Drosophila melanogaster: one gene and its partners. Changing the gene in region 2 together with the main gene of any one other region gives a genetic interaction. Each region holds a gene or a part of one and is shown on either strand. Other genes may lie near its edges. The genes, in order: sty, RasGAP1 and aop.

Region 1 (3,756 bases), 6.4 Mb from region 2:
GGTTTTAGGAAAACTCCCAGATGCTTTGGTTTTACCCAAAGTCATATAGAAACAGACCAAGACCTTGCATTTAAATGTACTTCTTATGACTTCTTTAATCATTAAAGGACTTTCCAATTTGCAATTCTTTGCTATGATTTAAACAATGATTATTGCCTACATTTATATCAGAATTTAATTATACATAATATCCCCATTTATATATTCAAATGTAAAACTACATTATGTTTGCAAAATGGGTTAAGTTTTTAAAATTCTTGCTGAGCCTCAGCCTCCATGTGAGCTGGCATAAAAGGCCAAAGTGTGTCTCAGCTTTCAGCCTTCAGTCCGATCTTGATTTCGCGTCATTATGATTCGCATACAGATTATACAAATTTCGAAAAAAGATATATATTCGGAGGGTAGGGACTGGTTGGTCTTCATGTTTATGAGACATCTGCAGACAAACGCAGCGGGTAGCCGGCGAACGAAAACACGATCTCCATCCTCATCAGCCAAACCAATTTCATTTCGAGATTCGTTCAGCTGTCGGTATTTGTGGGCTACTGTTTCGAATTTTTCAAAGTCGCCAAATAATTTTAATGATCTGGCACAGCGAACAAAGTACTAAATTAACTTAAGAGCCTTCTTCCAGCCACTTCGCCCCACTCATCCTCGCCGATTCCGCCTTTCCCCCCATTTGGGGCAGTGAAAATGATTTATGGCATTCCAGAATGCCTAAGCTCTAAGGCTCAGGCATAAGATTTGATTTTTAGGTAGGGAAAAAGGGTACAGATGACAAATTTATAAAATTAAGACCTATCATACTATCGATTAAATGTTATTCCATTACTCAAAGCTCAAAGATATTGTAGGGAAATTGTTCATCATTGTTTGACTAAAAGAAACAATGTCACGAATTTATTTTTATCGAGTTGATCTTGTTTTTTTAAAATATTGGCTAGGATAGACTTTTCAACTTTTCCAGAAATTTAATTCCCAATTTCTACAAACTATACAACCGCGTATTTACTCAGATATTTAAGATTCAAATGGATGAACATTTTATAATACATTTATAATATCCTTGACAAATCTTCGATAAGATCTCTTGCATAAAAATCACTGGCATATAAATGACTTTTAATGCCTTTCCAACTGATGAGCACTGGTCACTTAACCTTTGGGTGACTTTTAGCTCTCAAGAGAAGAACAAAAAGTCAAGATCCAAAGTTCCAATTGACAATATGAATGACTTGAGACATTTAAGTGTTCTTCGACTGCGAAGGTTCATATATTGATAGAGATGGACAAGGGACAATGAAGCTACTCACCGGTGAAGGGAAGTTGCTTGATGGATGGGTTCTGGTTGAAAGTTTTCCTCGGCTTGGTCGACTCGATTGCAGATAATGCGGATAATTTGATTAGAGATTTTTTTTGGCTCGGTACAGCTCGCCTTTGTTCGTTCTGGTTTTTGGGGTTGATTGAGTTGTTTTGTTTTTCTGGTGGCAACTGTACTCAACGAGATGCCTTGGTTAATTGATTAATAGCACGATTAATTTGTAATAAAGTTAAAGAGGCTTACGCTATGTATGATTATGTTTTTTTTTTCAATGGGATAGTTTACTATTTAAAATTGTTAATTATTTAAAAACACGCGCACTTTTACTTGGATTCACTTAAATTACGCATACGCCGTGTGCGCATCTATTAATCGCTAATTGCGTTGTGTCTTTGAACATACAACTGTATATATATCGGGTATATATATTTGGTAAATAATTTTGCAAGCACAAGTTCTCGGAGATTGCACGTTGAATGCAGCCTGACTATCGTCCAGTGACTGAGCCAATGTTGCACGACTTTTGCATCGGAGCTGCAGCCTCACCCGAAGATTGCCGATAGGATCTCGTCCTGGAGGGGAATACCCATTCGTTGGGCCGAAGGTCCCAAAATCCGAAACACGAAACGACATTGCGTGGGCTTCGTGCGACATTCGTATTGTTTTCCGATTTCGGCTATTGCTGCAGGACTAATCCTGGCTCCTGGCTGCTGGTTGCTCCTGTTCCCAGCTCCTGGCTCCCAGTTCCCTCCATTTGCATGGCCATCCAGCCCCCTCCAATTGCCTACCAACCCACCAGCCACCCGCCACCCAACATCCTGGCCTCGGTGGCCCGGCCAATGAGCACTCGGCTTTCAAGGTCGTCCGTTTGACGGCCATTTTGAATGCATCGCCACTTTCAATGGGCGCCCACTCACACACGCCTGCATTTCCTGGCCCAATGAGCTGGGCTCTGGCCCACTCAGTTGCCTTGGCAACGACCTTCGGTAGGCGTCGCCTCGACATTGGCCATGGCAGTGAATTTCCACTTGGGGGTTGTTGCAATTACCCCCAAGGTCATCCGTTGTCCATCAGCTGTTCGGCCAGGGTTGCCCTGCCTCCTTAAGGCGGGCTTATTTGAAAATTAGCCAGCACCCTGTGCACCGCTCCCAAATTAAAATCGAACAGCACACTCAAAGCTCATTTCGTTTACTGCCCCATAAATTAATCAGTGAAAATAATAAAGATTTCAATATTATTTCCAACGACATCCGGTCGAATGCGGCACCAAATTTGGCGGAAAGCAGCCACTTCGCCGAGCTCCACATATGGGCGGTACGCATCACAATAACTCTACATATATATTTGTATACGTATATATTGTATATGTATAAGGAACATCAGAATAAAGAACAATAAAAAGCTAAAGTCTAACAAGAAAGCTGAGTGAGCTAAATTGGATTCAAAAACGAATGTGGATTACTTTCTTGAGCGCTAGGAAAATGTTATTTTAGGATGAGTAAGTTGAGTAAGATACTTTTTGAATAGCATTAAATAATAATATATTTTAAATACTTCCCAAGAACATAAAGAAACAAAATAACCTTTTAAGATAAGGGTATCCCCGAAAGAATTTCATTTGCTTTGCTGCGGAGTTGGACAACTGGACATCTGCCATTGTTTGGACCCTAAATTGAAATGCCAACCGAAATGTGAATCATTCGATCAGATCAAACTCGACAACAAAAAGTGGTCTGCCATTCAATTATATATACGTATGTATATTGGCCGAAACATTTTTGGGCAAACAAATTCGAATAAATGAGTGTGAATGCGAACGGACAGAATAAAAATAAATGAAATTTCATTGAACGAAAATGCTCAATGAGAAATCCGTATGAAAGTTGGCCAAGTTGATGTCTGGGTGTTTGGCTCTGATGGCTTTTCGTGCATTCAATCCGCAATGAATACGCCACCCCAGTCCAACAGTTTTCCCGCCTGACGTCACAAGTGTCCTAGATAATCGCCGCAGTGGCAGAGGTAACACATTGGCCTCGAGGTGAATGTCTAAACATGAACTCGAGGGCAATTTCAGACAGCCAAAAGAATAAAAATAAAAATCACACTCACAGCACAAGTGGCAGCGAGACGCACGTGCAAAATATTTATTTGGAAATCAGCGATTGGCGTGGTCGCTGTTTTTCTCTAAGCAGATCCGTTCCCAATACCACTTCCGTCCGATAATCGATGGGTTCTGTCAATTATTCGGAGTTTTAATTCTGAATTTTCGGAAGAACACGAAACACGATTTTTCTTAGCAGCAGCCAGTAGCGAGGGAAAAACCAAAATATGAATTGAATATGAATTAAGCAGTTTTTAGAAAGCGAGCTTCAAATCTTCTTAACTCAGATAAGCTTGGTTATAACAGTTAAACAACCAAACATGTTTATGCACTC
Region 2 (3,756 bases):
CAGGTGTGAAAATGAGATCACGGGAACTTTTGAACCCCCCCCCCCCCTCCCCGCACAGTACACACAGCCAGTGGTTATTCATAATTCTGTTTTACTTTTTATGTTTCAACAGGAAATGTAAAACCACCAAAAAACAACCGCAAGTTTATTTTTCGTCTATCTCTTGCAGTCTGCTTCGCTCTCGCTTCAGAATGAAGTGGATGGCAGAATGGAGAGGAAAAGTGAGAGAGCGTCATTCATTCATTTGACCTCTTGCCAATATATAGTAGGCCATTAATCGATGCTCTTTTCGCTTGTTGCTTTTGATAATCATTCATAAAACAGACACCTTCGTATTGAGAAAAGTACACCGAATTCGAAAATTCCATTCATAAAAAAACCCACACATTGTTGCTGGGATCTCTCTGCCGCTTGTGTGTGTGCGTTTGTCGCGTGTGTGTGAGCATGCGCTGGAGCGTCTCACAGACACATGCTTGATTTCCGATTCATTCACAAAAAGGGGCGCATTCAAAACTGCGGGGGGTGTGCTGGGCGATGAAGGAGGAAGAGCGGTTCTGGGGGTGGGTCAAGAAGCGAATGCCGTAACATTCAGCCTGGTCATCCATTACTTCTCAAACGGCAGCAACAACAAATGTATTGCACTGCTGCTGCACGAAAAAAAAACACACACACACAGGGAAAAAGGCAACAGAAACACACACGCACAGAGCAACACGCGAGTCAGAGCGGGACAGCATGCTTATACACTTGAACGCAATATGCATTTCTAGAACAAAAACACATTTGTTTTCTCAATTAATCGACTTTCTTTGCCTCAACTCGCACAAATTTCGGTTTGCCATTAGATTACACAACATTTTGGAAAACTTTTAGACATATTCTCCCGATTCTATGTTGTTTTCTGCTTGGAAGAGGCTCCGCGGGGCAAACGGCGACGCTGTCAAAATTCCAGCACACTTTGGAACATAAAAAACGCACGTTGCTGCGCGTATTTCACTCAACGTTCATGCCACGCATGTTCTTCGACATATTTTTGATGTTTTTGAACGATTTCGCACTCGATTTACATACCAATTTTCACTTTTAATTGCTCTTCAATGCGCACTTCGCGTGTATCGGCCATTTTGTTGTTGTTGCTGCTTGGCTCGACGGCGACGGGCGAGTTAATATTATTGTCGTCTCGCTCGTCGAACATATAGCGCTTCTTCTTCAGCAGCATTGTGCGCTTAAAGCAGCCAGCTTTTTGTCAGCTACCCACTGGGGAACTTGCAACACGCGATTGGAAATTTATCTAACTCCTTCACTCGATCTTCACGAAACTTTAATAACTCGAAATTATTTGTTTTTCTTTAACAGGTTTATTAGCCGGCTATTTGCATTTGAATTTCATCACTCGCTGCAGCGTTGCATTGTGCATTGAGCTGGTGTGACGGGAATATGAGTCGATTTGCCGCTCACGAAATGCACTTTCCCTGTTGCTTCAGGGCTCGACTGATTTTAGTATTTCGTTTTAACTACAAACTGTTTTTTGCACGCACTAGCAGACGTGGGATTATATTATCGAAGTATGGAAAGTAATTCGGTTGCTTGAATCAGAATCGCAAAAACTTGGTTCTCCGAGTTTATTTGCTTTGCGGGTTTACACGCATCCGCGAACAACCTTTCGAAGCGGAATCAGAACTAGAGTGACCGTAGCGAGACGGTTGTATGACTCCAACGAATTAGTGTGACCTTAGCACGGTGCCCCGAAAATACCACGGGAAACGCAAATGATTAATGTTTGCTTAATAATTTGTTTGAAGCAGATATGTTTTAAAATAATTTTTTTATTTTATTCAACAACGGCTTATGCTTATTAAGTTAAGCACAACAGTAAGGTTTTCATTAAAAATGTTTAAGTTTAATTTCGATATTTCACCAGTTCTGGCTATCGAATATATATCGTTAGCTCCAACAAACAGTTATATATTTTGTAATTTATTTAAAATTGATTATTATTAAACACTGAATTTTTGGTTTTTTTTATTTTAACTTGAGGTTTAATTGATGTTTTTATTAATTCCGATTGGTTTTTAGTTGCTTAACTTTGAAACACACTCCGAATTACGAACGTGTTGCAGGTCGGCCGAAATGGAACTGAATTAAAATTTCCAAGCGGCAAGTGTACACATGCACCTCCCAAAAATTTTGTGAATGAAAACGCACACACGCAGCAGCGGTCACCTACACTTAAACACACACACATGTTGCACCGGCGCCACCAACAGCGGAAACAACCGAAGATCGCCGGCAGAGAAAGTCGAGGCATATGCGACTTAAGAAGGGCGGTACAAAGCAATAAAAAACCCTGTTTTGTTTATGATCGATCGTTAAGGAATTATATCAGAAAGCAATGTTTATTTTTAAATTCAACCAGTTTAAGATTCATATCTATTCCAATAACCATGTATCAATAGCTAGTTATGCTTAGCAAAGTAAGTAAAAATCAAATGCCCGGCTGTTTATACCGTAGCGCACATTACGTGGGCGTTCTGGATCGCAGACAGTCCACAGGAACCCGAGGAACTACATAGTACACACATATGTACATTAAAAGTACACAAATATTCAGAAACAAGGCAGTGAAATGTGAAATTCACACGGCATCCGGACAGCAACGCCGCTTATGTTTTTCTTTACGCATATGTTGCTTCTGCTCCTTGCCTTGGAAACCACATGCATCACAACAACAACAAGAACAACAACTGGCAGGGAGAGATCAACAAGTGAGGCGGTGCATCTTATCACAACTGCCGCCAATAAGTGGAAGTGGTCGGGTCAACATTTCGGATGGTTGCTCGGCTGGGTTTCATTGTTTTCGTATGCCCTGCATTTGATCTAGTCACTTCAACTGCACTGAGCAAAATAATTGTATATAAAATAAATTATAATTGTAAATACTATAACACAGTTATAGTTTATAGTAATTGTAATAATTTAAAGAGACTTATCGAAAATTAACATTTCCCTTTAGTATATGCTTTTAAAGTGTATCATAATATTTGTTAAGAACGTTCACAATGCTATTTTCTGTGTAGCGTGCGTAACGACCATTTGAATATGTTGATCATTTCGCTCAACGAAACGTAACCGACGTGGGAAGAAGAGGAGACAGGGCTTTTCTTCTTTTTTTCCGTTTCCAGCTGTCCACTCGATTCCTCCTCCTCCTCCATTTGCCCCGCCCACAAAATTCGAAGCTAGGCGCAGATGTTATAAATATAGTATTTTGTGGCATTTCCATTCGTATGAATGGGTCTACGAGTTTCGGTTTCAGGTTTTTGGGCCTGTTTATAAACCCACTCCTCCCATATTTTCTCATATTTATGTCCGGAAAAGTGTTTTGGTCATTTGTCTAGCTTCCGTTATTATTTCGTTATGAATGAAAAACCCATTTGGACCGGGTTTTTTGATCTCCCTAATTTACAACATTTATTTAGTATTAACTCGATCTTGACGTCAATATGGGTTCGTAAACTTCGTTTACTATTTGCGTCGTGAACAAGTTTCTTAAAACGTTTAGTTTTTCTTATCCACCTCATGTTAATGTGAAGTTTACACATAAATACTCATAAAAGACCCCAATGTGGGTTTTCCTAATCGCACTTTGAATACATTTAAACGGCAAGAGGAAAAGGCTGTTAAATAGATTTATAGATGATTTTCAAGCTTCGATTTTTTTTGTTGAATTTATGGATTTTAAAATATATACCAATCAAG
Region 3 (3,756 bases), on a different chromosome or scaffold from region 2:
CCAGGTACCGTAATGTGGAGTGGAATGTGAAAATAGAAGAGGCTATTTTCCAAGTGAATCGATCTTGTTCGTATTGTAGAATGCTAGGGAATCGGTGAAGCGTACCGTGCATACAATGAGAGTCAAGACACTGGGCTTGGGAAGAGAAATTACTATCATATCATATTGTTACTAGACTGAGCTATGAGTATTTGCATATGGTTCTCAACCAACCACAGGTAATAATTAATCACAATCCAACTAGACTGTAAGAAATATCTAATCATATTTGGAAACAAGAAGAACATACAACAAATTATGCGCAACAATCAGATAACAAAACAATAATTAAACTATAAAACCACTCCCAAGATCCCCATAAAATTGTAACTCTTATTATTTAAACAAGCCCCAAATGAAAACGCCACAATCAGATCCTCTGAACAGGCAAATAAATCAACTAAACCTTAGATAAACCGTTGTTGCCGAGTCTTCATCCATCTCATATGAGTGTACTGCGAACCAAATATAGCCCAAGTTATCTGTTTACACGTGTAGATCCGACAAATTGTTGACCTCAACCAGAGACCAAAACTCAGACATTGTAAGACGTCGGGTGGAGCGAAGTGGGGAAGTCATATGCAGCAGATAACCAAAGCCAGATTAAGGTGGAGCAATTATTTATCAGCTGCTCAGACAAGACACTTTTCTGTTTCCATGACCATTGTGACGTAGTTATGGGAAATACATGTACCAAAAGATGGTGTTTTAACCAATTCGTAAAAAAAAGCAACGACGGCAATGGAGTGATACAGGGGTAATGTCTGTAAACACCGATTCTTGCACGATTACGAATATAAAAGAACTCCAGATATAAAAACCATTGTGCTTACATATTGAGAAAAAATGTTTTTATTTTTGACACTCTTTTCTGCTACTATTTTGACAATGGTTAATTTAACAGTTCACAACAAAAAGTATACAAATTATCAAAATTCTCACCTGTTTGCTCCACTGTGCACTGTGGTTACGTACTGTAAGGTGAGTGAGTGAATTTGTCTGTTTGCGTTGGGCTTCGGATTCGATTCTTGAGCTTTTTAGCGACAGAAGCAACGCGGAAGCGGATATGTCCAGATCCCAGAATGCTTTAGCTTTTGCTTCGCTTTCTTGTTTTATTTTTGTTTTTGGTTTTGTTTCTGTTAATTCGATGTTGTTCTTGTTGTTATCTGCTGATGACGAAGAGGGCGTCGCGCCAAGTTGCCATTGTTGTTTGTGTTGCTGTTTCCTTTTGGTGAGGGGCGCCGCGTGGGCGGTGGTTGTGTGCTTTTGGGGCTAATCCAGGCTCTCTGTTTTTGTTTTTGTTTTCGCTTCGTTCTGCGACAAATGCCAGCCGTAAAGCGGAGCAAATGAATAAGAAGAAGGCGAAGTCAAGCGTTTTTACTTCCGCCGCCGCCTCAGCAGCACGCACACACAGGCAGACGCGGGCACACAAACGCACACGCACACTGTAAGACACTCACGCGATGCACTTGCACTCTGGCGTTTTGTTCGTGTATTTGTTGTTGTACTTTGGCATTTCCTCTTTCGTCTTCCTTTTCACTTTTGCTTGCACTTCTTGTTGCGTTGCTTTGCTCTCGCTGATGTTGCTGTTGTTGTTGGCGTTGTTGCTGTCGCTCTTGTTTATTTTTTATTTCCGTTTCGCGCACACACACACCGGGCAATGTAAACACACACCGAGTTAAGAAGAACCGTTTATTTCCTCAACGCCGCGCACGAATTAAATTCTATTAATTGTGAATTAATCAATTTAAAACATATTAGTTTGCCATTTACAGCAGAATGTCTAGTTGCTTTCAGGAGCGACTCTTCTACACGTCCGCCCAGCACGGCAGTTTCTTTTTGACTGCCGATTCGATTCGAACAGGCGGCGAACATGAACAAGTCGGCGCATGCGGAGAGAGAATCGAAAGAGAAAGAGAAGCAAAGAGAGCGACATACAGCAAAAACAATTCAAAAAGAACTGGTGAAGAATACGAAAATAAGATAATTTTTTAAGGAAGTCGCGCTTTGATCCGTATCCGTTTTAGCGTCCAAGATTTATATCTTAAATCGGACCTATATTTTGAGGTACAGTGAAGCTTTGATGCGCCAGTCTTATATGAGTTAAAGTTTTAACGATTGAAAGACACCCCTGAGCTGCTCATTATATTTCAATATTTATAAACAATCTTATATCAGAGCTTGAGAGACTTGCATGCGCCACAAAATTCCAATTCCAATTCCGGAATAATTTCACAATAATCTCAATTAACATACGTATTTTATGTTCGTAATTTTTTAAAATTCCCAGATTCCCCACAATTGCCATAATAATCTCGATTATGTTATTATACTCTGAGAAGTAGGAGTGTGTGCAAAGACCACAAACAAATCATTAGGCGCGTAAACATTTACAGATCCACCATCCACTTCCTTGGCAACGAAAGAAGCAACAGCTCGCAGAGGTAATAATTTAAATAATTTAAAACCCACCAAAGTTTACTACGAAACAACTCAATAGGCAACCGCTGTCTGTGGGCGGCGTCGAATTCGCGTGGGGCGCTCGATTTAGTTGTTAATCAATAGAAGATAAAGTTTAAACAAACGATTCATGCTGATACCAGAAGCATGGGCGCCGAAATACCAAGGGATCGTTCTCTCACTAGATAACATACACACCTATTGTGACTGGAAACTTGAAATGATCGAGCATGCCATACCCATTAGCTGTCAATTGTGACTATTGGCGAGCTTTTTGCACATAAACCATAGATAAGACAATTCCGTGAACTCTAATCAGTGTGCGATAATGCTCTCAAGCATTTGAAATAATTATGAATACGACCCCCTGGCCGAAAATGAAATAAGCGCCACGCGCCTGGGAAAAGCGCTCTATTGTAATACAAAATGTTTGGAGGTGCTAGCTGATAGGTGTTTTCGATCCCATAAATCTTGGATCTTCATGGAAACCAGTTGGCAATCTTTAATTATAAATTGTTGGAACATTTCCGCTCGGCTGCGACGGAAAATCTCTTTGGAAAGGGGGCGGGGCTGGGGTTCCTCGTCAGGTTGCTTGGACGGTCGGTTGGTCGGTCGGTCGGTGGGCCTGAAGATGCGCTCAGTTGCACTGCATCCGCTTTGGGGTCTCCAGTCGCCTCAGTTGGCTAACCAGTTTCTCCCCGAGCAACGAGCAACGTTTACGTTGACATTTCAAGTCAAATGCCCATAAACGGCGACCAGCCGGACGACCCCGCCCACGCCCTGCACGCCCCTGCTCAGTTCCGTGGGTATGCACTGAAAGAAAATCTAGATTAATGGGCATTTAGGTAAGTAATAAATAGTAACATGTATTTTTATGGCTATAAATAGTTTAGCGAGTAAGCCTCGTGATATGAAACATTAAAGAACTTTTAGATTGTGACTCTAATTAAGAAATATAATAGAGATATTTTTTTCAAGTGCTATCTTTTCCGTCGATAGCTGCGATGGCGATGACGACGTTTCCAAGTGATCGCCGCAGCGACGATCACTGGCCCAAATTAGTAGCTTCGGTCATGGTGCGTCGCCCATCGGGAAATTCCAGGGTGAAAGGGTGGCTGGCGGAGGAGGAGGACGGGGCGGAAGGGGCAGAGCTGCCGATGAGGATCGCACAGGGGTCAGAGTTCAAATAGTCGTCCAATTGAGCCAATCAGCGTTTGTACATCTGTATTTCGCCATTGCAATGCAACCAGTACGCCT

What was found.
Region 1: of RasGAP1 (region 2) and sty, changing one enhances a phenotype caused by changing the other (phenotypic enhancement), as found in Drosophila melanogaster (one study listed by BioGRID).
Region 3: of RasGAP1 (region 2) and aop, changing one enhances a phenotype caused by changing the other (phenotypic enhancement), as found in Drosophila melanogaster (one study listed by BioGRID).

What each region holds. Positions count from the first base shown.
Region 1 is NT_037436.4:3,423,112-3,426,867, forward strand, and holds the start of sty (sprouty), read right to left. Parts: upstream 1,825-3,756; 5' UTR 1,314-1,824; intron 1-1,313. UniProt on the Drosophila melanogaster protein: Inhibitor of tracheal branching that restricts branch budding by antagonizing the BNL-FGF pathway (BNL: branchless, an fgf inducer of branching).
Region 2 is NT_037436.4:9,853,594-9,857,349, forward strand, and holds the start of RasGAP1 (Ras GTPase activating protein 1), read right to left. Parts: upstream 1,693-3,756; 5' UTR 1,220-1,692; coding exon 1,072-1,219; intron 1-1,071. UniProt on the Drosophila melanogaster protein: Inhibitory regulator of the Ras-cyclic AMP pathway. May function as a negative regulator of Ras85D/Ras1 in the sev signaling pathway. Acts cell autonomously in cone cell precursors as a negative regulator of R7 photoreceptor cell determination.
Region 3 is NT_033779.5:2,176,866-2,180,621, forward strand, and holds the start of aop (anterior open), read right to left. Parts: upstream 1,890-3,756; 5' UTR 982-1,889; intron 1-981. UniProt on the Drosophila melanogaster protein: Ets-related protein that functions as a negative regulator of photoreceptor development acting antagonistically to pnt and the proneural signal mediated by RAS. It acts upstream of SINA to inhibit R7 development.